Anolis sagrei: one gene and its partners. The protein of the gene in region 2 interacts with the protein of the main gene of each other region in a biochemical or structural test. Links are inferred from orthologs where the notes say so. Each region holds a gene or a part of one and is shown on either strand. Other genes may lie near its edges.

Evidence for each region.
Region 1: the proteins of LRRK2 (region 2) and NEK1 interact on a protein array, tested with the Homo sapiens proteins (2 studies listed by BioGRID and IntAct, with this or other methods). The link is inferred for Anolis sagrei from reciprocal best matches to the Homo sapiens genes LRRK2 and NEK1.
Region 3: of the proteins of LRRK2 (region 2) and dual specificity mitogen-activated protein kinase kinase 3-like, one has a biochemical effect on the other in vitro, tested with the Homo sapiens proteins (2 studies listed by BioGRID). The link is inferred for Anolis sagrei from reciprocal best matches to the Homo sapiens genes LRRK2 and MAP2K3.
Region 4: the proteins of LRRK2 (region 2) and ankyrin repeat and SAM domain-containing protein 4B interact on a protein array, tested with the Homo sapiens proteins (2 studies listed by BioGRID and IntAct, with this or other methods). The link is inferred for Anolis sagrei from reciprocal best matches to the Homo sapiens genes LRRK2 and ANKS4B.

What each region holds. Positions count from the first base shown.
Region 1 is NC_090025.1:58,804,880-58,811,975, forward strand, and holds the start of NEK1 (serine/threonine-protein kinase Nek1), read right to left. Parts: upstream 3,020-7,096; 5' UTR 2,831-3,019; intron 1,022-2,830; 5' UTR 991-1,021; coding exon 874-990; intron 774-873; coding exon 677-773; intron 1-676. UniProt on the Homo sapiens protein: Phosphorylates serines and threonines, but also appears to possess tyrosine kinase activity. Involved in DNA damage checkpoint control and for proper DNA damage repair.
Region 2 is NC_090025.1:82,026,506-82,033,758, forward strand, and holds the start of LRRK2 (leucine-rich repeat serine/threonine-protein kinase 2), read left to right. Parts: upstream 1-4,239; 5' UTR 4,240-4,403; coding exon 4,404-4,575; intron 4,576-5,620; coding exon 5,621-5,706; intron 5,707-7,253. UniProt on the Homo sapiens protein: Serine/threonine-protein kinase which phosphorylates a broad range of proteins involved in multiple processes such as neuronal plasticity, innate immunity, autophagy, and vesicle trafficking.
Region 3 is NC_090035.1:3,668,066-3,675,360, reverse strand, and holds the start of dual specificity mitogen-activated protein kinase kinase 3-like, read right to left. Parts: upstream 3,005-7,295; 5' UTR 2,893-3,004; coding exon 2,877-2,892; intron 1-2,876. UniProt on the Homo sapiens protein: Dual specificity kinase. Is activated by cytokines and environmental stress in vivo. Catalyzes the concomitant phosphorylation of a threonine and a tyrosine residue in the MAP kinase p38.
Region 4 is NC_090034.1:16,409,719-16,416,641, reverse strand, and holds the start of ankyrin repeat and SAM domain-containing protein 4B, read left to right. Parts: upstream 1-3,905; 5' UTR 3,906-3,946; coding exon 3,947-4,110; intron 4,111-6,923. UniProt on the Homo sapiens protein: As part of the intermicrovillar adhesion complex/IMAC plays a role in epithelial brush border differentiation, controlling microvilli organization and length. Plays a role in assembly of the complex.

The DNA of each region.
Region 1 (7,096 bases), about 23 Mb from region 2:
AGGTGGCCAATTGCAACATTCACACTTGCCTCAAGCAGACAAGAGTTCTTTCTCCCACCCAGGACATTCCACAGATATATAAACCTCCCTCGTATAGTTTCAAATATACCTCACAACCTCTGAGGATGCCTGCCATAGATGTGGGCCAAACATCAGGAGAGAATGCTTCTGGAACATGACCATACAGCCCGGAAAACTCACGGCAACCCAATATCAACTTCTTATTTTGCAGGTATTAAATTATAAAACCCGAATAGGAAACTTGCAGCTAGATTCCAACCTTTACTATATTTCTACTCAATCATATAGAGAATCATGGTAAATAAAACAAGAATATTGTCTAGAAGCTTATAATAGTCTCAGTATATAACAGTGTTCTTTAGTTAGTTCAGATAACATTGTGCTTAGAGACACCTATCTCTGGAGTATGCAGTTATGAAATCAGCTTGTAACACATAACCAGAAGAACATCTGCACTACCATTTGCATAGTTGGAAAAGTCAACGGAATTTAGCTGGCATGCTGCTTATCTTTATAAATGATACATGGATTGCCAATGAAAGACTATAACCAAAAGTATAAAACAAAGCCTACCAATTCATCCCCTTTGATCTGGTTTCATGTTTTCACACTTCAACATATCGTTTTGACATCACATGTTATTTTAAAGCCTAACCTTCAAAGGATTCTCTGTACAAGACAATATTTGGATGTTTCATGTTGGCCAACACGGCAACTTCCCTTCTAGATTCTTCTCTTTCTTTATTTGACATCTTTAAAAAAATGAGAATGAGTAAGAAAAAAGGTATGGATTATGGAAGATAAATTTGAAAAGTTAATATAATAAAAGGAAACTGAATTAGAGAAACTCACCTTAGATATATTGATCTCTTTAATAACATACTGTTTGCCATTTTCTTTTGATTTGACTAGAATTGCTTTTCCAAAAGACCCTTCACCAATCTTTTGCACCTTACTATATTTGTCCATGGTCTTTTTCTAAGGCATCCTTATGCATGAGCTAGGGAGAAAAAATATACTTTTAAACAAATAATAATATTATTAATAATACTTTATTTATATCCTGCCCCCTCTCGCCAAGGAGACTCAGAGCGACTTATAATAAGAAAGAACAATATAAATAGTAGTAATCAAACAAACAAAACTAGTAAGGTGTGCTTACAGTGTCTACATCATGTTCAAATAGAGATTGGGCATCTCTTATCCAGAATTGCAAAATATATCCCTGTATGCCAGGGGATTGATTTAGATTATATTTTACTGTACTATTATACTGCAATATATATAATACGAGTGCAGTATTTTTCCAAATGAAGCACAGATTGTTTGAGGACCGGGACATCCGTAAGGACATCCGTAGGGATACCAAGGTGCTTGTTTATAAAGCTATTCTCCTCCAAACCCTGCTATACGCCTGAAGACGCCACATGCAACTCTTAGAACGATTCCATCAGTGTTGCCTCCTAAAAATCCTGTATATCTCTTAGGAAGACAAGTAGACAAATGTCAGCGTGCTGGAAGAAGCAAAGACCACCAGCATCGAAGCGACGGTCCTCCGCCATCAACTCTGCTGGAACAGCCACGTTGTCCGGATACCCAAGCACCGTCTCGCAAAGCAGTTGCTCTACTCCGAACTCAAGAATGGAAAATGGAATGTTGGAGGACAGGAAAAGAGATTTAAAGATGGGCTCAAAACAAACCTTAAAAACTCTGGCATAGACACTGAGAACTGGGAAGCCCTGGCACTTGAGCACTCTAGCTGGAGGTCAGCTGTGACCAGCAGTGCTGTAGAATTTGAAGAGGCATGAATGGAGGGCGAAAGAGAGAAATGTGCCAAGAGGATGGCGCGTCAAGTCAACCCTGACCGGGACTGCCTTCCACCTAGAAACGGATGCCCTCACTGTGGGAGGACATGCAGATCAAGAATAGGGCTCCACAGTCACCTACGGACCCACAGCCAGTACACTGATCTTGGAAGACAATCCTACTCGGACAATGAGGGATCGCCTAAGTAAGTAAAGTACCAGTACATTATAAGATTGGTATTACAATACAAAACACCTCTAGCCCCAAGGATACTCAACCTGCACATGCCAACATCTAATTTAACCATTTTAATTCACCTAATTAAAAAGATAATTAAACTCTTCTAATTCTCACTCTATGGTGGAATGCGACTTTTAATCCAGCTGTTAACTGGTTTCTAAGGGTACTGCTATGGCTCACTATAGGATTGTGGGGGTTGTAGTTTTGCAAGATCTTCCCTGCCAAAGAGTGCTGGTGTCAAACTACAACTCTGAGACACATCTATATATAAGGCATGGGCAAATTTTGGCCCTTAAGTTGTTTTGGACTTCAACTCCCACAATTCCTAGCAGCCTCAGGCCCCTTCTTTTTCCCCCTCAGCCGCTTAGCTGAGGGGGAAAAACAAGGGGCCTGAGGCTGCTAGGAATTGTGGGAGTTGAAGTCCAAAACAACTTAAGGGCCAAAATTTGCCCATGCCTGATCTATACTGTCTGACACTTCAACTGTCATGGCTCAATGTTATGGAATCCTGACATTTGTAGTTCATTGAGAAAAATAGCCTCCTTTGTCGGAGAACCTTGTAAATCTACAACTCCCAGGACTCCATAGCAGTGAGCCAGGGAAGTAAAAGTGGGGGGCAGAATGGTTCTTCCCCTCAGAAACCAACTCCAGTCACCTGACTGACTCTCTCCTCGCCTTTCCCCTCAAATCCCCCACTGCGGCCTTGGCCTGGGCACACCCATCCCCTGCAGCAGTGGTCGAGGCTGGAAGCGAGGCCACTTACGAGGCAAGAACCGCAGGAGGGGCCACCGACCCCGGGAAGCGAGGAGAGGGAGCCAGGGCCGCTGGGAAGGCGAGACCCCTTCCTCCCTCCTTCCTCCCCTCCGACAAATAACAACCCAGGCGCCCTTAACCCAATCTCCCACCCCGTTGGGTGAGTCCAGCAGCTCTAACGGAGCCGGAGCCTTAGTCCCGCCCCCGTCGCGTTGCTTATAGGACAACTGGCCCTGAACGCCCTTCGCCATTGGTCGAAACGAGTGAGTTCGAGTGCGCCACTAAGGTAGGGAGCGCCGTAGAAGATGCTTACGGATTCTCCCTGGCAACGCGTGAGCACCAGGTCACGTGATCGAAAGGGGCGGGAAGAAGAGAAACTGGGATGCAGCTATGGCGGGAGAAAGGGAGGAGCGTGTGGAAGGCTAGGAAAGCTGCTGTCAGGCGATATTGGCGCTTATATAGGAGTATCCGTCCCCTGTCACGTGTTACTGTGGCCCAGTCTGTGTATCTGTGTTTTGTGTGTGTATATATGTGTGTTTATCTTGACACGACAAATAAATTATATCTTCTATATAAATAAAAATGTAATGTTCGTTTGTGGGATTAACAGAACTCAAAAACCACTGGGGGAATTGACACCAAATTTGGACACAAGACACCTAACAACCCAATGTATGTCCTTCACTCAAAAAAAATTGATTTTGTCATTTGGGAGTTGTAGTTGCTGGGATTTATAGTTCACCTACAATCAAAGAGCATTCTGAACCCCACCAACGATGGAATTGAACCAAACGGCACATGAACATTACATTTTTATTTATATAGATTGGCTTGGGGCCCCTTCCAAACAGTTGAATAAAGTCCCACAATTTCTGCTTTGAACTGGAATATAGGGCAGTATGGACTCTTGGGCCTTCCATACTCCAGCGCAGGCCCGTAGCCAGGATTTCATTTCGGGGGGGGGGGGGGGGGGCTGAGTCTGAGTGAAAGAGGGTCTACCCTAGCAAACCTTTTGTATTGTTACCCCAATACCCTCATGCATATGGGATGTATTGAGCATGGTGATCAGATCATGATATGAATAAATATAACAGTTTAAATAATGCACCAGTAAGGCCTTTTCGCGAACCACCATGAGAATTTCGGGGGGGGGGGGGGGGCTGAAGCCCCCCAAGCCTCCCCCCCCCCCCGGCTACATGCCTGCTCCAGCGGGAAGGTAACAGTGCTTCATGCAGTCATGCTGGCCACATGACCTTGGAGGCATCTATGGACAACACTGGCTCTTCAGCTTAGAAATGGAGATGAGCACCAACCCCCAGAATTGGACGTAACTAGGCTTCATGTCAGCGGGAAAACTTTACCTTTACTTATCAAGGCAGAAAAATCCCACAATATCTGCCAACATAGCAGTTCGAAAATATGCATATGTGAGTACATCAATAGATACTGCTCCAGCAGGAAGGTATCAGCACGCCATGCAGTCATGCTGGCCACATGACCTTGGAGGCGTCTATGGACAACGCTGGCTCTTCAGCTTAGAAATGGAGATGGAGCACCAACCCCCAGAGTTGGACGCAACTAGACTTAATCTCAGGGGGAAAACTTTACCTTTACTTATCAAGGCAGAAAAATCCCACAGTATCTGCTTTGAACTGGAATATATGGAAGCGTGGACTCTGGTTCCTTCCACATACCCATATAGCCCAGAATATGAAGCCCCCGGTGGTGCAGCAGGTTAAACTAATGAGCTGCTGAAGTTGCTGACCAAAAGGTTGGCAGTTCGAATCTGGGGAGTGGGGTGAACTGCTATTAGCCCCAGCTTCTGCCAACATAGCAGTTCAAAAACATGTAACTGTGAATAGATCAATAGTTACTGCTTCTGCAGGAAGAAAACGGTGCTCCATGCAGTCATGCTGGCCACATAATCTAGGAGGTGTCTATGGACAACGCTGGCTCTTTGGCTTAGAAATGGAGATGAGCACGAACCCCTCAGAGCTGGACACGACTAGACTTAATGTCAGGGGAAAACCTTTACTTTTACTCATCAAGGCAGAAAAATCCCACAGCATCTGCACTGAACTGGAATATATGGCAATGTGGACTCAGATAACCAAGTTCAAAGAAGATATTGTAGGATTATCTGCCTTGATATTCTGGGTTTTATGACTGAGTGGAAGGCCCTAATTCAACCAGCGAAGTCAGCTGGAGGAGATGAGAAAGTTGTTCACTGTCAATTTAAATCCCGCCTTTAAATTTGTTTTTTGAAAGAGGTTGCCATAATCTTGGTGTTTTTTTCCCTTTTTTATTATATATATTTAGTTTAATACATACCCAACATTTATAGTTCCCACCACCATGAGGATTGTTTTCTTTTACATATTAATCCTTTTTGAGATGAACCTTATAGATTAACATTCTATATAACATTTGTCTCCTATTTCTTTCTTCTTCTTTTTCTTAAATATTTTTTAATTAATTATTTGACACAATCTCATATATAATCAGAAAATATACATTCAGAAATACTGGAACATGTCTAGATCTGTATGTAGACAGCAACTTGTACAAAGTAGGTATAACATATTATTCCATTCACTCAAGTTTAAGACACTTTCAAAGGAAAATCCATGCAAACTATACCTAACTAGAATTGTGTCTATCTAGCTAACATCAATAGTGTCATCAGCTACTCCCACCCCCATATCATATGCAAAAAAAAATGCCAATTTTTTTTTGATTCCTTACAAGGCAAGAAATGTATCTTCATGATCTTGGTGTTTTTTTTAATGTTTAACTGCAACCCAGCTTTGGCACTTTCTTCTTTCGCCTTGATTAGAAGGCTCCTCAGCTCCTCCTCGCTTTTGGCCATCCAAGTGGTATCATCTGCATATCTAAGGTTGTTAATGTTTCTTCCAGCAATTCGTCAAGCCCTGCACATCGCATATGTTCTGCATACAAGTTGAATAGGTTGGGTGAGAGTATACAAGTCTATTGTTCTATGGCAATATATTCCAGTTCAAAGCAGAAAATGTGGGTGCTTTTTTTTTCAACGGTGTGGAAGGGGCCAGAGTCTTTCAAAAGACTCCTTCTTTGGAAGCTTTTAAACAGAGGCTGGATGGCCATCTGTCAGGGGTGATTCGAATGCAATATTCCTGCTTCTTGGCAGGGGGGTTGGACTGGATGGCCCATGAGGTCTCTTCCAACTCTGTATGATTCTATGAAAAATAGCTCCCAAATCTTGCCTGGCTTCAACAGGCTACCACGCGCATGCGCCAAGAGGACCCTATTGGAATCCCGCTCTTGAGGGCCGTAAATCTCGCCGCGGCCAGCGCGCATGCGCGGCGTGGGAAAAAAAAAGCAATCTTGACGTCTCCGAGGCGGTGGTAAAGTAAGGGCGGGGTTCCGTTGTGGGAGTGCGGCTTGGGAGCTGATTGGCTGAGCTGGCCCGAGTCCCGCCTCCTCGCGAGCCTCTCCGCCCGGTTCGGCGGCGAAAAGGAGGATGCGCGAGGGCTCTCTGGGGATCGCCAGGCGGCGGCGCTGCCACACGGCCAGGTAGGCGAGCGAGCGAGCGAGGGAGGGAAAGCAGGGAGGGAGTGAAGGAAAAGGCGCCTCCGTGGAAGGAGGCCGCCGGAAGAGTGATGGAGACAGCCTGTCAGAATGGTTGCATCTCCTGCTTCAGGTGCATTAGTCACGCGTTCGCCTTTCTCCTCAGCAGACGGAGAGAGAGAGAGAGAGGATGCATTGCGAGTTGTTGTGTTTGAGGAGAGGCTTTGCATCTCTACGTCTTCTGCTTCATTGTTTTGAACTAGAAGGCTGCTTCTCCTCCTCCTGCTTTCACTCGTCGGTATCAACACAGTCCAAACCACTTCAGCTGCCATAGCTCAATGCTGTCGTCTCCTGGGAGATACAGTTTTACAAGGGGTGCATCTTGGCTCAGTTTGACATTAGCTGCCGTGGCTCAGTGGAATCCTGGGATTTGTAGTTTTCCCAGGGCAGCAGCAGACGCTAAATGCCCTGTGAAACTACAACTCCCATGATTCCATAGCACTGTGGCCCTTTCCACACAGCTGAATAAAATCCCACATGATCTGCTTTGAACTTCATGGCCTATGGCTAGTACAATAAACAATTCATTCCAATTGCATTCAGTCAATTGCTTGGCACTAGAATATATGGCAGTGTGGATTAAGATAACGCAGTTCAAAGCAGATATTGTGGGATTTTCTGCCTTGATATTCTTGGTTATGGGCTGTGTGGAAGGGCCCAGTGTGGACTC
Region 2 (7,253 bases):
AACCAGAGGCCTTTCTACACTGCTATATGATCCAGATTATCAGAGCAGATCATTTACATCTGATTTGAACTCGATAGAATCATAGAGTTGGAAGAGACCTCCTGGGCCATCCAGTCCAACCCCCTGGCAAGAAGCAGGAAAATCAAATTCAAAGCACCCCTGACAGGTGGCCATCCAGGCTCTGTTTAAAAGCCTCCAAAGAAGGAGCCTCCACCACACTCCGGGGCAGAGATTTCCACTGCTGAACGGCCGTCACAGTCAGGAAGTTCTTCCTAATGTTCAGATGGAATCTCCTTTCTTGTAATTGCATTCAAAGCACCCCCGACAGATGGCCATCCATCTTCTGTTTAAAAGCCTCCAAAGAAGGAGCCTCTACCACACTCCAGGGCAGAGAGTTCCACTGCTGAACAGCTCTCACAGTTAGGAAGTTCCTCCTAATGTTCAGATGGAATCCCCTTGTAATTGCATTCAAAGCACCCCCGACAGATGGCCATCCATCTTCTGTTTAAAAGCCTCCAAAGAAGGAGCCTCCACCACACTCCAGGGCTGAGAGCTCCACTGCTGAACAGCTCTCACAGTCAGGAAGTTCTTCCTGTTGTTGTTCATTCGTTCAGTCGTCTCCGACTCTTCGTGACCTCATGGACCAGCCTACGCCAGAGCTCCCTGTCGGCCGTTACCACCCCCAGCTCCCTCAAGGTCAGTCCTGTCGCTTCAAGGATGCCATCCATCCATCTTGCCCTTGGTCGGCCCCTCTTCCTTTTGCCTTCCACTTTCCCCAGCATAATTGTCTTCTCTAGGCTTTCCTGTCTCCTCATGATGTGGCCAAAGTACTTCAACTTTGTCTCTAGTATCTTTCCCTCCAGTGAGCAGTCGGGCTTTATTTCCTGGAGGATGGACTGGTTGGATCTTCTCGCAGTCCAAGGCACTCTCAGCACTTTCCTCCAACACCACAGCTCAAAAGCATCGATCTTCCTTCGCTCAGCCTTCCCTAAGGTCCAGCTCTCACATCCGTAGGTGACTACAGGGAATACCATGGCTTTGACTAGGCGGATCTTTGTTGCCAGTCTGATGTCTCTACTCTTCACTATTTTATCGAGACTGGACATTGCTCTCCTCCCAAGAAGTAAGCGTCTTCTGATTTCCTGGCCACAGTCTGCATCTGCAGTAATCTTTGCACCTAGAAATACAAAGTCTGTCACGGCCTCCACGGTTTCTCCCTCTATTTTCCAGTTGTCAATCATTCTTGTTGCCATAATCTTGGTTTTTTTGACGTTTAGCTGCAACCCGGCTTTTGCGCTTTCTTCTTTCACCTTGATTAGAAGGCTCCTCGGCTCCTCCTCGCTTTCGGCCATCAGAGTGGTGTCATCTGCATATCTGAGGTTGTTAATGTTTCTTCCAGCAATTTTCACCCCAGCTTTGCATTCATCCAGCCCCGCACATCGCATGATGTGTTCTGCATACAAGTTAAAAAGGTTGGGTGAGAGTATGCAGCCTTGCCGTACGCCTTTCCCAATCTTGAACTAGTCTGTTGTTCCGTGGTCAGTTCTGACTGTTGCTACTTGGTCCTTGTACAGATTCCTCAGGAGAGAGACAAGGTGGCTTGGGATGCCCATCCCACCAAGAACTTGCCACAATTTATTATGATCCACACAGTCAAAGGCTTTAGAATAGTCAATGAAGCAGAAGTAGATGTTTTTCTGAAACTCCCTGCCTTTCTCCATTATCCAGCGGATATTGGCAATCTGGTCTCTCGTTCCTCTGCCTTTTCTAAACCCAGCTTGAACATCTGGCAACTCTCGCTCCATGTATTGCTGGAGTCTTCCTTGCAGGATCTTGAGCATTACCTTACTGGCATGAGAAATAAGGGCCACTGTACGGAAGTTTGAGCAGTCTTTCGCATTTCCCTTTTTTGGTATGGGGATATAAGTTGATTTTTTCCAGTCTGATGGCCATTCTTGTGTTTTCCACATTTGCTGGCAAATGGCATGCATCACCTTGACAGCATCATCTTTTAAGATTTTAAACAGTTCAGCTGGGATCCCGTCGTCTCCTGCTGCCTTGTTGTTAGCAATGCTTCTTAAGGCCCATTCAACCTCACTCCTCAGGATGTCTGGTTCTAATTCATTCACCACACCGTCAAAGCTATCCTCGATATTGTTATCCTTCCTATACAGATCTTCTGTATAGTCTCGCCACCTTCTCTTGATCTCTTCAGCTTCTGTTAGGTCCCTGCCATCTTTGTTTCTTATCATACCAATTTTTGCCTGAAATTTACCTCCAATGTTTCTAATTTTCTGGAAGAGGTCTCTTGTCCTTCCTATTCTGTTGTCTTCCACTTCCACGCATTGCTTATTTAAAAATAGTTCCTTATCTCTTCTGGCTAACCTCTGGAATTGCGCATTTAACTGGGCATATCTCCCCTTTTCACTGTTTCCTTTTGCTTTCCTCCTTTCTTGGGCTACTTCCAGTGTCTCAGCAGACAACCATTTTGCCTTCTTGGTTTTCTTTTTCTTTGGAATGTACTTTGTTGCCGCCTCCTGAACAATGTCGCGGACTTCTGTCCATAGTTCTTCTGGGACTCTGTTTACTAAATCTAGTTCTTCCTATTGTTCAGATAAATTTTCTTTTGGCGTGTCAGGAGCAACTTGAGAAACTGCAAGTTGCTTCTGGTGTGAGAGAATTGGCCGTCTGCAAGGACATTGCCCAGGGGACGCCCGGATGATTTGATGTTTTACCATCCTTGTGGGAGACTTCTCTCATGTCCCTGCATGAGGAGCTGGAGCTGATAGAGGGAGCTCATTCGCGCTCTCCCCGGATTCAAACCTGCGACCTGTTGGTCAGATAATATGAGCCTACACTATTTTATCCAGTTCAAAGCAGATAATCTGGATTTTATATGTTTGTGTAGGAGGGGCCTTCTAGATAGGCCCTATATCCCAGGTTTTCTGCTTTAAACCGGATTATATGAGTCTGCACTGCCAGATAATCCGGGATAAACTTGGGATCAAATCCTGGGATATAGAAGGGTCCTGTGTTGCAAAAGACAGTGTCCACCTCCCTCTACTTTAGGGACTTCTTCATCATATTGTTAAAGGCTTTCATGGCCGGAATCACTGGGTTGTTGTAGGTTTTTCCGGGCTATATGGCCATGTTCTAGAGGCATTTTCTCCTGACGTTTTGCCTGCATGAATGGCAAGCATCCTCAGAGGTAATGAGGTCTGTTGGAACTAGGAAAAAGCAAAACAACAGAAGGGAAACAGTCTGGGACATCTAATCACCTCTCAACAAAAGATTCCCCCCAGGCACTTTCAAGCCATTAAATGCTAATCAAGGTAGTCAGTTGAAACATTCACACTTAGCTCCAGCAGACAAGAGTTCTTTGTCCCACCCTGGTCATTCCACAGATATATAAACCCATTTTCCTAGTTCCAACAGACCTCACTACCTCTGAGGATGCTTGCCATAGATGTAGGCGAAACGTCAGGAGAAAATGCCTCTAGAACATTGCCATATAGCCCGAAAAACCTACAACAACCCAGTGATTCCGGCCATGAAAGCCTTCGACAATACATTATAATCCGGCCCTCCAACAGTTTGAGGGACTGTGACCTGGCCCTCTGCTTAAAAAGTTTGAGGATCCCTGATCTAGATTATCAAAGCAGATAATCCACATTGGACTGGATAATATGGTCTACACTATTTAATCAATTTCAAAGCAGATAATCTGGATTTTATACGGTCGTGTAGAAGGGACCTTTTAGACAGGCCCTATATCCCAGGTTTTCTGTTTTAAACCGGATTATATGAGTCCACACTGCCAGATAATCCGGGATAAACTTGGGATCAAATCCTGGGATATAGAAGGGCCCTGTGTTGCAAAAGACAGTGTCCACCTCCCACTACTTAAGGGACTTCTTCATCTTCCAATCTGTTTTGTTTTTGCCTTTTGCTTTCAAACTCGTGACCATGAAACTGAAACCTTGGGCTGCCCCTTTTCCAAGAGGGAACGGAAAGCCCTGATTTGAGCCACAAATGCGGACTTTCCTTCCCCACCCCTTCCTCCTATACAGACTTCCTTCCCTGGAAGGAGCAAGTGGTGTAATATTCCCATATTGGACGAGAAGGGGGTTACTTTAGTAAGGGAGGAAGTTGCAAAAGAGGGGCTTGTGCGGGATTGGCAAAGGGAGCTGCGCGTCAAAGCCCCCGCGGGGATTTCGTCTCCCTCTAGCGCCACCTCTGGCCGCGGCGCGCATTGCACCCACCAAGCTTGGAAAGGAAAGTCAAGCCAAGCGGGGGGAGAGGCGACTTCCAAACAACCCGCCGCTTCCTCTGCTGACTCAAAAGATTTGTTTACTGGCGGGAGGCGACTCCTGGGCATCTTGGCCCTTAGTGGGAAGGCAGCCATGGCCACTGAGGGGGTGCCAGCCTGCGAGGAAGAGGAGAAGGACGAGGAGAGGCGAGAAGCCGCCTTAAGGAAACTCATCGTCCGCCTGAAGAACGTCCAGGAAGGGAAGCAGATCGAGACCCTGGTGCAGATCCTGCAGGACCTTCTCTCCCTCGCCTCCCTGCCAAGCGGTAAAAAGGGGGCTTCTCTTCCCTCTAGAGCAGTGTTTCTCAACCTGGGGGTCGGGACCCCTGAGGACACAGTATTTTCTGTTGGTCATGAGGGTTCCTTATGGGACTCTGGCCCAAATCTGTTGTTGATGGGGTTTAGAATTTCCTTTGATTGTAGATGAACTATAAATTGTAGCAACTACAACTCCCAAATGTCAAGGTCTATTTTCCCCAAACTCCACCATTTAGGCCTATTGAGTATTCATGCCAAGTTTGGTCCAGATCCATCATTGTTTGGGTCCACAGTGCTCTCTGGGTGTAGGTGAACTACGACTCCCATAATCAAGGTTGATGCACACCAAACCCTTCCAGTATTTTCTGTTGGTCATAGAAGTTCTGTGTGCCAAGATTGGCTCAATTCCATTGTTGGTGGAGTTCAGAATATTCTTTGATTGTAGGTAAACTATAATTCCCAGCAACTACAACTCCCAAATGTCAAGGTCTATTTTCTCCAAATTACACCAGTGTTCACATTTGGGTAAATTGAGTATTTGTGCCAAGTTTGCTCCAGATCCATCATTTTTTAAAAGCCACAGTGCTCTCTGGATATAGGTGAACTACAACTCCTAAACTCAAGGTCAAGGGCCCTCCAAGGCCTTCCAGTATTATCTGTTGATCATGGGAGTTCTGTGTGCTAAGTTTGGTTCAATTCCATCATTGGTGGAGTTCGGAATGCTCTTTGATTGTAGGTGAACTATCAATCCCAGAAACTACAACTCCCAAATGACAAAATCAATTCCTCCAACCCCACCAGTATTCAAATTTGGATGTATCGGGTATGAAAATACATCCTGCATATCAGATATATACATTACAATTCAAAGCAGTAGCAAAATGACAGTTACGAAGTAGCAAAGAAAATAATGTGATGGTTGGGGGTCACCACAACATCAGGAATTGCATTAAGGGGTCACGACATTAGGACGGTTGAGAACCACTGCTCTAGGGAAAGCTGACAAGGGATTCCTCTTTCCTGATCTTTCCCCCCTTCTCTTCTTTCACCCAGGTGGCAGGTTATTCCGTGGCAAAAACATCCACGTGCCTTTGCTCCTGGTTTTGGTCTCCTACATGAAAGTGGCCAGTGTGCAACAGGTAAATATTAGTCTCTCCCTTTGGCTGCTTCTCGCCTGGAACTGCTCTATATCCCAGGATCTGATTCTAGATTATCTGGCAGTGTAGACTCATATAATCCAATTCCAAATTGGATCAGATTCTGGGTCATATGGTAGGGTAGATCCAGCCTCATCCTTCCCTACTTGGATTCTGAAGGATGCTTTCCCTTTGCAGGATCAGAGGGATTTTGGCCTGCATCCATAGGAGTCTAGTGTCTAGATCCAGGGAAGTCATGCTACCTCTCTATTCTGCCTTGGTTAGAACACACCTGGAATATTGAGTCTTAATTCTGGGCACCACAATTGAAGAGAGATAATGACAAGCTAGAATGTGTCCAGAGGAGGGTGACTAAAATGATCAAGGGCCTGCAGAACAAGCCCCATGAGGAGCGGCTTAAAGAGCTGGGCATGTTTAGCCTGAAGAAGAGAAGGAGGAGACATGATAGGCATGTATAAATACGTGAGAGAAAGTCATAGGGAGGAGGGAGCAAGAACAATGGCTTCAAACTACAAGAAAGGAGATTCCATCTGAACATATGGAAGAACTTTCTGACTGTGAGAGCCATTCAGCAGTGGAACTCTCTGCCATGGAGTGTGGTGGAGGCTCCTTCTTTGGAAGCTTTTAAACAGAGGCTGGATGGCCATCTGTCAGGGGTGATTTGAATGCAATATTCCTGCTTCTTGGCAGGGGGTTGGACTGGATGGCCCATGAGGTCTCTTCCAACTCTTTGATTCTATGATTCTAGAGGGATTTTGGCCTGCATTCATAGGAGTCTAGTGTCTAGATCAGGGGGCCTCAAACTATGGCCCAGGGGCCGCATACGGCCCTCCAAGGTCATTTACCCGGCCCTCACTCAGAGTCAACCTAAGTCTGAAACGACTTGAAAGCACACAACAACAACAACTATCCTATTTCATCAGCCAAAAGCAGGCCCACACTTCCTATTGAAATACTAATATGTTTATATTTGTTTTAGTTATTGTAGGGGTCCTCAAACTTTGTAAACCAGATCACATTCCCTCAAACGATTGGAGGGCCGGATTATAATTTGAAAAAAATATAATATATAATTTGTTCCATCTGAACATGAAGAAGAACTTCCTGACTGTGAGAGCCGTTCAGCAGTGGAACTCTCTGAATGGTGGAGGCTCCTTCTTTGGAAGCTTTCAAACAGAGGCTGGATGGCCATCTGTCAGGGGTGATTTGAATGCAATATTCCTGCTTCTTGGCAGGGGGTTGGACTGGGTGGCCCATGAGGTCTCTTCCAACTCTTTGATTCTATGATTCTATGATATGAATGAATTCCTATGCACACTGCACATATCTTATTTGTAGTGCAAAAAACACTTTAAAATAATACAGGGGCCTAACTCAAATAGGATAAACATTTGGTGAATTCTTTTTTTTGGGATGGATCCTTTTCTCTATCCAAAAATGGACTTTTTCAAGGATACTTTTCCTAACTCTCAAAAATGGGAAGGTTGGCATGGATCACTAAGGACCCATCTACACTGCCATATAAAATC
Region 3 (7,295 bases), on a different chromosome or scaffold from region 2:
TGTTGGTTTAACTCAGGCACGGGCAAACTTTGTGGGAGTTGTATTTCCAAAACACCTGGAGAGCTGTAGTTTGCCCATGCTTTGCTAGTAAAACCGAATTCCCGCTTTTGGCATGTTTAAAAAGCACGTCCCCAACATGAACACTTTGCAAAGCTCCGGGCTCAAAGGATTCTGGGAGTTGCAACCCCTTGGAAGTAAATAAATTGCTTCTTGAAAGATTCAGGAGGTGGAAATGCTTTGGAAAGCAGTCAACGCCACGCAAGTTTCTACCGTGAAGGTGAGTAAGCAATCACAAACACAAAGCATGACACAACCGCCACACGCCCCGAGAAAGGTGGCCGAGAGAGCCTGACGTCTATGACGCACAACTGCCTTTCTGCAGCTTGCAAAACAGAAAAAAAGAGCACAATTATGTCCCACAGTGAGGCTCAATAGGATGAATCCTTGGGAGTTGTAGTCTGCTGAGGCACCATCCCTCTCTCTTGCAGAGAAGGCGTGCAAAACTTTGCAAAACTTTGCCAAACTTTGCAAAACTTTGCAAATATCCCAGACTCTATCACAGGTATGGGCAAGCTTGGCCCCTCCAGGTGTTTTGGACTTCAACTCCCACCATTCCTAACCATGAACCATATACTATATTGCCATCAGTCACTCGGCATATCCATCACATGTTGGGCTTTTGATCATACCAGAGCATGTTACTAAGAAAGTATGCACGAAGCAAACATTTGGTGCATGCATCATCTCCTAACAACAACGACAAAAGAATGTTTTGCAGCCTTGGTGCAACGTAAGGCAATATTTGGGAAGAACAGGTACCGAAACCGAAGAGAGGAAGTGGAAGAGGAAGCCGCGCCTGGATCTGGCAGGCTTTTTCTAACAATCGTGTCAACCTGGAAGCTTTTGTGGATAATGGGAGTTGCAATCCACTCCCACCTTGGCTTGAAGCCAGCCGTGCCGGCAAGGACCGCCTTTTGTTATGGTGCAAATCCATAATTAAGATCACAACACGGAAGTCAAACTTGTTCTACAAAATGTCATTGTTTAACCATAAGGAGAGCTTTTTCAGCAGTGGAGTCTAGTGGAGGCTTCCTCTTTGGAGGCTGGATGGCCATCTGTCGGGAGGGCTTTGATTGTGCTTTGCCTGCGTGAAGGCAGAAGGAAGTTGGACTAGATGGTCCTTAGGGTCTCTTCCAACTCTAGGATTCTATAATAATAGTTATTATTATTATTATTATTATTATTATTATTATTATTATTATATCCTTGAGTTAGAAGAGAGATGGTCCTTAGGGGTCTCTTCAACTCTAGGATTCTATAATAATAGTTATTATTATTATTAGTAGTAGTAGTATCTAGCAGGGGTTGGATGACCATCTGTCGGGAGGGCTTTGGTAGTGCTTTTCCTACTTGGCAAAGGGTTGGACTAGATGGCCTTTAGGGACCTCTTCCAACCCTAGGATACAATAATAATAATAATAATAATAATAACAACAATTATCGAGCTGGGGCTGGATGGTCATCTGTCGGGAGGGTTTTAATGGTGCTTCTCCTGCCTGGCAAAGAGTTGGACTAGATGACCTTTAGGGGTCTTTTCCAACTCTAGGAACCTTCTATTATTATTATTATTATTATTATTATTATCTAGCAGGGGTTGGATGACCATCTGTAGGGAGGGCTTTGGTAGTGCTTTTCCTACTTGGCAAAGGGTTGGATGGCTTTTAGGGACCTCTTCCAACTCTAGGATACTATAGTAATAATAATGATAATAATAATAACAACAATTGTCTAGCTGTGGCTGGATGGTCATCTGTTGGGAGGGTTTTAATTGTGCTTCTCCTGCCTGGCAAAGAGTTGGACTAGATGACCTTTAGGGGCCTCTTCCAACCCTAGGATACAATAATAATAATAATAATAATAATAATAATAATAATAATAATAATAGTTGTTGTTGTTGTTGTTATCTGGCAGAGGCTGGATGGCCATCTGTTGGGAGGGCTTTGATGGTGCTTCTCCTGCCGGGCAAAGGGTTGGACTAGATGGCCTTTAGGGGCCTCTTCCAACCCTAGGATACTATAATAATAATAATAATAATAATAATAATAATAATAATAGTTGTTGTTGTTATTATTATTATCTGGCAGGGGCTGGATGTCTATCTGCTGGGAGGGCTTTGATGGTGCTTCTCCTACTTAGCCGAGGCGAGTTGGACTAGATGACCTTTAGGGGCCCCTTCCAACTCTTATGATTCCATAACACATAATAATAATAATAATAATAATAATAATAATAATAATAATAACAACAACAACAACAACAACAATAATAATAATAAAGCTGGGGCCAGATGGCCATCTGTCGGGACAGCTTTGGTGGTTCTTTTCTGAGTTGGACAAGATGACCTTTAGGAGTCCATTCCAACTCTTATGATTCCATAACACATAATAATAATAATAATAATAATAACAACAACAACAACAACAATAATAAAGCTGGGGCCAGATGGCCATCTGTTGGGACGGCTTTGGTGGTTCTTTTCCTGCAGGAAGGCAGAGAGGAGTTGGATTAGATGACCTTTAGGGGGTCTCTTCCAACGTTAGGATATAATAATTATAATTATAGTTATTATTATTATTATTATTATTATTATTATCTAGCAAGGGCTGGATGGTCATCTGTCTGGAAGGCTTTGATGGTGCTTCTCCTACCTAGGAGAAGGGAGTTGGCCTAGATGACCTTTAGGGTTCCCTTCCATCTCTTATGATTCTAAATACAAGCAAAATATAGGCTTAAAAACACCACAGCCTTCTTCTAAAGGCTGGGGAGACTGCCAATCCCACCATCCCCTTCCCTGGAAGTTACCTGGCCCTTCTTACCTTTCGGGAGGGACATGTCTGGGAGCGTTCTCCCTTGGCTGGGAGCCGTCCACTCGCAGGTCCTGATCCGCCTTAGATCCAGTTAGATCCCAATAAGAAAACAAGAGGGAAGGAAGGAAGAAAGGCTCTCTCACTCCACCAGCCTCACCTGGGCACTGGCAGGGTGGAAGCCCCAGCACACACCTGGACCCCGCCCACCTGGCCGCACCGCGCTCCCATTGGCTGCCAGGCCCCCCAATGGGCGTGGCCTGTCTGGAATCCTGGGCTACCTGGAAGGAGGTGCCATGGGACCATCGCCCACGTGACCAGAGGGGTGGAGTCGCACCTGGAGGCACGCCCCCTTCCTGCCTACCTGGTGTTTGTTTCTTTCTTTCTTTCCTTGCTTCCTTCTTTTTCTTTCTTTCTCCCTTTCCTACCTTCGTTTTTCTTTCTCTTTCTTTCTTCCTTCCCTCCTTTTTCTCTTTCTCTTTCTTTCTTTCTTTCTTTCTTTCTTTTCTTCCTTCCTTTTTTCTCTTTCTTTCCTTCCTTTTTCTTTTTCTTTCTTTTTTCTTTCTTTCCCTTTTCTCTTTCTTTCTTTGCTTCTTTCTTTTCTTCCTTCCTTTTTATCTTTCTTTCTTTTCTTCCTTTTTCTTTTTCTTTCTTTCTTTTTTCTTGCTTTCTTTTTTTCTCTTTCTCTTTCTTTCTTTCTTTCTTTTCTTCCTTCCTTCCTTTTTTCTTTCTCTTTCTTTGTTTCTCTCTTTCCTTCCTTCCTTCCTTTTTTTTCATTCACTTTCTCTTCTTCCTTTTTTCTTTTTCTTTCCTTCCTTCCTTTTTCTCTTTGTCTTTCTTTGTTTGTTTCTTTCTTCCTTTTCTTCCTATCTTTTATCTCTCTCTTTCTTTATTTCTTCCTTCCTTCTTCTTTTTCTTTCTTTCTTTCCTTTTTTCTCTCTCTTTCTTTCTTCGTTTTCTTCCTTCCTTCCTTTTTTCTCATTCTCTTTCGTTCCTTCCTTTTTCTTTCCTTCCTTCCTTTTTTCTCTTTCTTCTTTCTTTCTTTCTTTTCGTACTTCCTTCCTTCCTTCCTTCTTTCTTTTTTCTTTCTTAATTTCTGTTCTTTTTTCTTTCCTTCCTTCCTTTTTCTTTTTCTGTTCTTTTTCTTTCCTTCCTTTCTTCATTTTTTTCTCTTTTTCTTTCTTTCTTTCCTTCCTTTTTTCTTTTTCCTTCCTTATTCCTTCCTTTTTCTCTTTCTCTTTCTTTGTTTCTTTTCTTCCTTCCTTTCTTTCTTTCTTTTTTTCCTTACATTTTTCTAATTCTCTTTCTTTCCTTCCTTTCTTCTTTTTCTTTCCTTTTCTTCCTTCTCCCTTTTTCTGTTTTCTTTTCTTTTTTCTCCTTCTCTTTCTTTCCTTTCTTCCTTTTCTCTCTCTCTCTCTCTCTTTCTTTCTGATACTCTTTTTCTTTCTTTCTTTCCATTCTTCCTTTGTTAGTTTTTTCTCTTTTTGTCTTCCTTTTTTTCTCTTTCTTTTTTTCATTCAATTTTTTCATTCTTTTTCTTTCTTTCTTTCTTTCCTTCTTCTCTCCATTCTTCCTTTGTTTTTATTTCTCTTCTTCTTTTCTCTCTCTTCCTCCTTCCTTCCTTCCTTCCTTCCTTCCTTCCTTCCCTTTTTGCAGGATTTTCCGGAGGCAGCGCTGATGGAATGGTTCCAGGAGTTGCATGTGACATCTGTAGACAGTCCACGTTTCGCAAGCGTATAGCAGAGTTGGGAGGACAATAGCTTTGTAAACAAGCTCCTTGGTCTCCCTACGGATGTCCCGGTCCTCAAACACTCTCTGCTTCATTCAGAAAAATGCTGCACTTGCAGGAGTTTTTTGGAGGCAAGCACTGATGGAATCGTATTAGGAGTTGCATGTGACGTCTATAGACAGTCCACGTTTCGCAGGCATATAGCAGGGTTGGGAGGACAATAGCTTTATAAACAAGCCCCTTGGTCTCCCTACGGATGTCCCGGTCCTCAAACACTATCTGCTTCATTCAGAAAAATGCTGCACTTGCAGGAGTTTTTTGGGGGCAATGCTGATGGAATCGTACCAGGAGTTGCATGTGACGTCTATAGACACTCCACGTCTCGCAAGCGTATAGCAGGGTTGGGAGGACAATAGCTTTGTAAACAATCACCTTGGTCTCCCTACGGATATCCCGGTCCTCAAACACTCTCTGCTTCATTCAGAAGAATGCTGCACTTGCAGAGCTCAGGCGGTGTTGACGTCTGTAGACAGTCCACGTTTCGCAGGCATATAGCAGGGTTGGGAGGACAATAGCTTTGTAAACAATCACTTTGGTCTCCCTACGGATGTCCTGGTCCTCAAACACTCTCTGCTTCATTCGGAAAAATTCTGCACTTGCAGGAGTTTTTTGGAGGCAATGCTGATGGAATCATTCCAGGAGTTGCATGTGACATCTGTGGACAGTCCACGTTTCGCAGGCATATAGCAGGGTTGGAAGGACAACAGCTTTCAAACAATCACCTTGGTCTCCCTACGGATGTCCCAGTCCTCAAACACTCTCTGCTTCATTCAGAAGAATGCTGCACTTACAGGAGTTTTTTGGAGGCAAGCGCTGATGGAATCATTCCAGGAGTTGCATGTGACCTCTGTAGGCAGTCCACGTCTCGCAGGCGTATAGCAGGGTTGGGAGGACAATAGCTCTATAAACAAACCCCTTGGTATCCCTACGGATGTCCTGGTCCTCAAACACTCTCTGCTTCATTTGGAAAAATACTGCACTTGCAGGAGTTTTTTGGAGGCAAGCGCTGATGGAATCGTACCAGGAGTTGCATGTGACGTCTGTAGACAGTCCACATTTCGCAGGCATTTAGCAGGGTTGGGAGGACAATAGCTTTGTAAACAATCACCTTGGTCTCCCTACGGATGTCCCAGTCCTCAAACACTCTCTGCTTCATTCAGAAGGATGCTGCATTCGCAGAGCTCAGGCGGTGTTGTATTTCAGTCTCAATGTTGACGTCTGTAGACAGTCCACATCTCACAGGCATATAGCAGGGTTGGGAGGACAATAGCTTTGTAAACAAGCTTCTTGGTATCCCTACGGATGTCCCGGTCCTCAAACACTCTCTGCTTCATTCGCAAGAATGCTGCACTTGCAGAGCTTAGGCGGTGTTGTATTTCAGTCTCAATGTTGATGTCTGTAGACAGTCCACGTCTCGCAGGCATATAGCAGGGTTGGGAGGACAATAGCTTTGTAAACAAGCTCCTTGGTCTCCCTACTGATGTCCCGGTCCTCAAACACTCTCTGCTTCATTTGCAAGAATGCTGCACTCGCAGAGCTCAGATGGTGTTGTATTTCGGTGTCGATGTTGATTTTGGTGGAGAGGTGGCTGCCAAGGGAGCGGAAATGGTCAACATTGTCTAATGTTACACCATTAAGCTGTATTTCTGTCATTGGAGAGGGATTTGCCGGTGACTGCTGGAAGAGCACTTTGGTTTTCCCGATGTTCAATGACAGGCTGAGCTTCTCGTAAGCTTCTAAATCATGGCATGGTTCAGATTTCCAGAGAAGTGACTGTGATGGGAGTTGTGATCCAAAACCTGGAGTGCTTCACCTAGGATTGGAATGCCATGCTTAGCTCTGGTCCTTGTGGGCAAAACCGACGAGTTCCTCCTCCGATGGCACATGCCTTGCTCTGCCGATGGAATGTGATTTCGCAAAGGTTCCTGCCCGTGTGTAGGGGGGAATTTGTGGTGCCCTTGACACGCCTTGGCTGTACTGTTTATACAATGCGATTTGCCCTGAAATCGGGAATGAAAAAATCCTGATCTACCCACGGTGTGCCAAAGGATGCGAAGCTATGTTTGGCAGGATAGGTATGTGTTGTCAAAGGCTTCCATAGCCGGAATCACTGGGTTGTTGTGAGTTTTCCAGACTGCCTGGCCATGTTCCAGAAGCATTCTCTCCTGACATTTCGCCCACATCTGTGACAGGCATCCTCAGAGGTTGTGAAGTCTGTTGGTAACTAGGCAAGTGAGGTTCATATAGCTGTGGAATGATGTCCAAGGTGGAGGAAAGAACTCTTGTCTGCTGGAGGCCAGTGGAAATGTTGCAATTGGCCTCCTTTATTAGCATTTAATAGCCTCGTAGCTTCAAAGCCTGGCTGCTTCCTGCCTGGGGGAAATAATAGAATCATAGAGTTGGAAGAGACCTCATGGGCCATCCAGTCCAACCCCATTCTGCCAAGCAACAGATATCCGTTCTCATGAGAACCTGCCAGAAGTACAGACGGAGAGAAACGTGGGAGATGAATTTATTTATTTATTTATTTGTTTACTCAATTTCTACCCCGCCCATATCAGCCCGAAGGTGACTCAGAGTGACATTTGTCTAGGTCAATGTTTGTCTAGGTCAAGGCAACTGGAACTTCAGAGACACTGTAT
Region 4 (6,923 bases), on a different chromosome or scaffold from region 2:
GCCATATAGCCCGAAAAAACCTACAACAACTCAGTTTGGACAGCGATATTTTCAGAAAACGTAATTGTCTAGGCAACCGCAATCCGGACCTGCCAGCCAGTGAGTCATCATTTGGATGATCCAAAGCACTCATTAGCCAAACATCCTCAAATCTCTCCATTAAAAAAAAGGTTTGGCTACAAATCTAGAGGGGCAAATCAGTGAAACACAGTGTGATTTGCGTCTGCAGAAACCAATTTATGTATTGAGTTGTCAGGCCTGGAGCCAACAAAATTCAGAAAGATCAAGTGCCATTTCAAACCTTTGTCCATTTATCCTAATGAATCGCCTTTTTCGCCTTCCCTTTTGAGAATGGAGTGATTCGCACCTTGGAACATCTTTTCAGGGAAGACAAGAGAGAAAGGAAGGATGCATTCTAGGCAAGCCGCCCTGCTTCTGGTTCAACGCTTTCGAAAGAAGGGACAAAAAGGCTCCCATTCAAGCAGCATTCCTCTCCCTCTGCTTGATCAGAAGGGCTAATAAAATACTGAAAGGGGATCTGGGGTGAGCTTTTCTCAACCAATTGACAGAAACAACCATTAAACTAATTAAGCTTTTCCCTTCCTCCTTGTATTTGCTTTTTTGAATTTGTTCCTTCTGTTAGTGACTCTGTCAATTGAGTGGTGACACAGGATACAGACCAAAAAAAATCCTTTTTTTATTTTCATGGCTCAAAATGATATCCTTAGTTTAGTGTGATTTGAGCCTCAGGCTTTAATTTCGGGAGATCTTGTGCCTTCCCAAACATTATGTAAAATGTCTCAGACAGTCATTTAAGTCAGGGCATTTGAGGTTTTCGTGTCTAATTAAACAATCCAATTAGTCTCTGAATAATTTTATATTTAGCTGTGAAACAAGTAAACAGGTTGAATGACTTGGTTTGAAGAGCAGAGCCAGGATGCTTGCTTCTTAATTACAGCTCCCAGAAACCCCCAGCTAGCAAGACCAATGTTCAGCAGTGGAACTCTCTGCCCCGGAATGTGGTGGAGGCTCCTTCTTTGGAAGCTTTTGAACAGAGGCTGTGTGGCCATCTGTCGGGGGTGCTTTGAATGCAGTTTTCCTGCTTCTTGGCCAAATGGGGTTGGATTGGATGGCCAATGAGGTCTCTTCCAACTCTATGATTCTATGATTCATGCAGACTGGGAAAATGGGTTTTCCAGATTTGCCAAAAAGGGAACGAGAGGCGTTGAACTGATGATGCATACTTTGTCAAATATGACATAGACCAGTGGTTCACAACCTGTGGGTCCCCAGATGGGATTTCTGCGAGTTGTAAGCCAAAATACCTGGAGACCCAAAGGTTGAGAATCAGTGCCATAGATCATCATGATGATTTATTCATCATGTCAGAAGCGAATTGAGAATACAGTTATAATGAATAAAAAACCAGAAGCTGGCCATGTCAAGTGGCTGTGCTGTGCTGTAAGAAGGTCCTTATTGTGCATGTGGCAGGACACAGGTTGCATTGTAGTATGTGATCTGTGGTTTGCTCTTCTCCACACTCGCATGTCATGGACTCCACTTTGTAACCCCATTTCTGAAGGTTGGCTCTACATCTCATGGCCCGCGAGCACAGTCTGTTCAGCACCTTCCATGTTGCCCAGTCTTCTGTGTGCTCAGGAGGGAGTCTCGCATTTAGTATCAGCCACAGATTGCGGTTCTGGGTTTTTAGCCTGCCACTTTTGGACTCTTGCTTGCTGAGGTGTGCTTGCGAGCATCTCTGGAGATCTTAGAAAATAATTTCTTGATTTAAGGTGTTGGCTTGCTGGCTGATATCCAAACAAAGGATGGGCCAGAGATGTCAATGCCTTGGTCTTTTCATTACAGACTGCTACTTCCTGACAGATATCAGGTGGTGCAATACTGGCTAAACAGTATAATTTTTCCAGTGGTGTAGGGCTTAGACATCCTGTGATAATGTGGCATGTCTCATTAAGAGCCACATCCACTTCTTTTAACATGGTGATATGTATTACACACTTGGTATGCGTATTCTGCAGCAGAGTAGCAAAGCGCAAGGGCAGATGTCTTCAATGTTTATGGTTGTGATCCCCAGGTTGTGCCAGTCAGCTTCCGTATGACATTATTTCTAGCACCCACTTTTTGTTTGATAGTGAAGCAGTGCTTTTTGTAAGTATGTGACTTGCAGTATAATGATGATGATGGTGGTGGTGGTGGTGGTGGTGGTGGTGGTGAAGAACTTATTACTCGCCTCTCCTTGAAGTTTGAAGCGTAATACTACATGATTCATACAGAGGGATTAAACACAAAACTATTAAAATGTCTGTCTATTTTCCTGTCTGTCTGTCTGTCTGTCTGTCTATCTATCTATCTATGTATGTATGTATATGTGCGTTTGTATGTATCTTTCAAGATGGTCCCCACTTCCAGAGACCATTACAACTCCCACCAACTACGAATCTGGACCGAACTTGGCAAACCCACCCATCCCGCAATGACCAAAATAAAATACTGGAGGCTGGGGAGGTTGGGGGCTGGGGAGGAGATGTACCCTGGACGATGGGGATTGCAGTTCACCCTGAAGGAACTTCCAGAGAGCACCGTGAACCCCATCTATGATAGATCTGGACCAAACATATCCATCATGACCAACTTTAAATATTGACAGGGTTTAGTGGGTGGCAATAGCAAAGAATGATGGGAGTTATAGTTCACACACAATCAAAGAGCATTCAGATCATAACCCATGATGGACTTGGATTAAATGTGACACACATACCCATCATGACCAGCTTTAAGTACTATCAGGGTTTGGGGAGCAATGACAGAGGATTTGGGGAGTTATAGTTCACCCATATGTGAAGAGCACTGTGAACCCCACTGATGATGAACGTGGACTAAGCTTGGCATATGTACCCATCCTGACCAATTTAAAATGCTGGTGCGGTTTGGGGGGTATTGACCTAGCATGATGGGAAATGTAGTTAACCCATATCTTTTGCATTTTCCTATGGGTGAGATAGTAGAGATGACTATAAACAAACTATATTATTTATGCATACTGAATACATGAACAAATAAAAGCGAGTTGAAGGTTTTTAAGCAGAGTCTGAATGGCTCTGTTGGGGGTGCTTTGATTGTGCTTTTCCTCCCTGGCAGATAAGGGCTGGACTGGATGGCCCTTGGGATCTCTTCCAACTCTATGAGTTGATTTATTTATTTGTTGTGTCAGGGCAACCAGTCAATTGTATTACATTTCTAACAGAACAAAACAAACAAACAGACAGACAAAATACAAAATTTGCGAGTTTGGTAGTTGATTAAATGTCCTTTGACCAGTATCTGGCCACTTGGAGTGCCTCTGGTGTTGCCGCAAGAAGGTCCTCCATTGTGCATGTGGCAGGGCTCAGGGTTCATTGCAGTAGGTGGTCAGTGGTTTGCTCTTCTCCACACTCGCATGTCGTGGATTCCACTTTGTGGCCCCATTTCTGAAGGTTGGCTCTGCATCTCGTGGTGCCAGAGCGCAGTCTGTTCAGCGCCTTGCAAGTCGCCCAGTTTTCTGTGTGCCCAGGGGGAGTCTCTCATTTGGTATCAGCCATTGGTTGAGGTTCTGGGTTTGAGCCTGCCACTTTTGGACTCTTGCTTGCTGAGGTGTTCCAGCGAGTGTCTCTGTAGATCTTAGAAAACAATTTCTAGATTTAAGTCATTGACGTGCTGGCTGATATGAGTCGATGACATAGTAGCATACATTAAAGCTGAGACAATATATTGCTTTCCTGCAGAGCGTAAGCCATAGCTGGGAGTGACCTTTGCTTCTTCGTTTGTGTTTTGTTGGAGCTGATGACTTCGTCAGGGATTATTAATTAACCATCCCTCTGATGAGAAGCAGTGTAGTGTGTGTCGCATTGCACAGTGTGAAAGGAATCAGCCTGGAAAGGGGAACACAATGTCCACCCGGTACCACCATGCAGCTGCCGATGGCAACCTGGAATTGCTGAAGGAAGCCACCAGAAAAGATCTGAACACTTCCGATATGGATGGGATGACTCCAACTCTGCTGGTGGCCTATCATGGCAATCTGGACGCTCTGGAAATCATTTGCCGAAGAGGGTAAGTACCGTCAGCCTATGGACAGATCACAACATATTGTGACTGCAAATGTAGGGTGTCCTTAGCTTATAATTTAGGGAGAATAAATTTGATATACCCTCAAAAATGTATAGCCCCTTAAAACAATTAAAGATTTCATTAGTAGAGAAGTGTCACAAAATTGCAGTAGGTACTTGAAATGATTAGTGTGTGTATTGTCCAAGGCTTTCATGGCTGGAATCACTGGATTGTTGTAGGTTTTTGGGCTATATGGCTATGTTCTAGAAGCATTCTCTCCTGACGTTTCGCCTGCATATATGGCAAGCATCCTCAGATTAGTGCATGATTGTACACCAGACATGGGCAAACTTTGGCCCTCCAGGTGTTTTGGGTTTCAACTCCCACAATTCTGGACAGTCTCGGGCCCTTTCCTTTTCTTTTTCCCTTTCCTTTTCTGCTTAAGTGGCTGAGGGGGGAAAGGAAGGGGGCTGAGGCTGTTAGGAATTATGGGAGATGAAGTCCATAACACCTGGAAGGACCAAGTTTGCCCATGCCTGGTGTACAATCATGCACTAATCTGAGGATGCTTGCCTTAGATGCAGGCGAAACGTCAGGAGAGAATGCTTCTAGAACATGGCCATATAGCCTGAAAAACCTACATTTCTGATGCCAATCAATCTGTGTCAAAGTTGATCCAGGAAAGAGAGCCAAGGGCAGTCCACACCCAAAACATGGCTGGAAGAAGGAAATAGACAACATATTGCTTTGTACTTAATAGGAGTTCTGTGTAGCTTTGATGATGATGTTGATGATGATATATTGAATTTCTTACCCATTTCTCAAGGTTTGAGGTGATTGATAACAATAATAACCATAATAATAATAATAATAATAATAATCAAAGTATGGATTGTCAATGTTGCAGTCCCAGGTGACAGCAGGATTGAAGATAAACAACTGGAAAAGCTGACATGATACAAGGATTTAAAGATGGAACTGCAAAGACTCTGGCAAAGCCAGTCAAGGTGGTCCCAGTGGTGATTGGCACACTGGGTACAGTGCCTAAAGACCTTGGCCTGCACTTAAACACAATTGGCGCTGACAAAATTACCATCTGCCAGCTGCAGAAGGCCACCTTACTGGGATCTGCGCGCATTATTCGCCAATACATCACACAGTCCTAGACACTTGGGAAGTGTTAGACGTGTGATCCAATACAACAGCTAGCAGGGTGTCTGCTGTGGACTCATCTTGTTGTGTTTCTAATAATAATAATAATAATAATAATAATAATAATAATAATACACTTTATTTATATCCTGCCTTTTTCTACATACTGAACAGCAACATACAACACAAAGATAAAGGGCTTCCCATTTTTCTATCTCTGGTGTCTGGAGGCAATGCTCAACTCCAGCCATGGGAAGGTGCTATTGTACCATTTTTCCATGCCAAGGAGCCTGTTGTCCATGGACATCTCCGATTGTGTTACTGGCATATCTGCAATGTGAATGAGGCACCATTTTACCTTCCCGCCGAGGCGGTACCAATTGATTACTCGCATTACATGCTTTTGAACTGCTAGGTTGGCAGGAGCTAGGGCTGACAGTTGAGAGCTCACCCTGACTCACAGCTTTGAACTACCAACTTTCCAGTCGACAGCTTTCCTGCAGCTAACGGTTCAACCTGCTGTGCTACTGTGGCCTCATAAAAACAGAAAACCATTAAAAACACATATATTAAAAGATGTAGACATAAGAGTAAGACGGATTAAAACTCATTCAATAACATGCCAGTTTAAAACGAAAGCGTCTAGATTAGAACTTGGGACTCAGAAAACCATTCCTTTTAGATCAGCCATTTACAGACGTATGATACTAATTGACATAAAACATACACAAGCTAATTTGTATGTATAGAGAACTTTAAAAATAATTAGAATAATTCAGATAGAGTGTGCCCAAGTCTCAGGTCCTCCTCTTTACTTCTCAGATGGGAAGAATCTCAGGGCAAGAGCACAGCCTTGAAAAAATGTGTATGTCTGCATGTGTATTTTCTCACTCTCTATTTTTTTCCTGTGGTATTTTATCCATTTCCGATATAATATCTCTTAAAATAAGACTCCACTATAGGACACGTGAAGGGCCGTGGTGGTGCAACGGGTTGAACCACTAAGCTGCCAAACTTGCCAAAAGTTCAAATCTGTGGGACAGGGTGAGCTCCTGTTGCTAGCCCCAGCTTCTGCCAACCTAGCAGTTCGAAAACATGCAAATATGAGTAGATCAATAGGTTCTGCTTTGTCGTGAAGGTAACAGCACTCCCATGCAATTATGTTGGAGGTGTCTATGGACAAAGCTGGCTCTTTGGCTGAGAAATGGAGATGAGCACCACCTCCCTGAGTCAGACTCAACTAGACTTAATGTCAAAGGAAACCTTTACTCTAGTACATGTGGCTATACAATACTAATAATCTAATAATATCCACTGGGGTTTAGTTCCAGAACTCCCCATGGAAACCAAAATCCATAAATACCAAAGTCCTATTATATACAATCGCATAATAAAATAGTGTCCTTGAGATAAAATGGCAAAATCAAACTTTGCTTCTTGAATTTTTAAAAATATATATTTTCAAACCCAGAGTGGCAATATCCCTGGATGCTAATCCATACGTACAAAGGGCTGACTGAATGTAAATAAATAAAATTAAATGTCCTGCTTTCACAATAAAATTTCTAGTTTTAATCACTTTTCATTTGTTATTTTCTATCACTGGCCTTTGGGCAATACTAAAAGTAATATGGTGAAAACCATTTGGACTTCAGGTAAACATA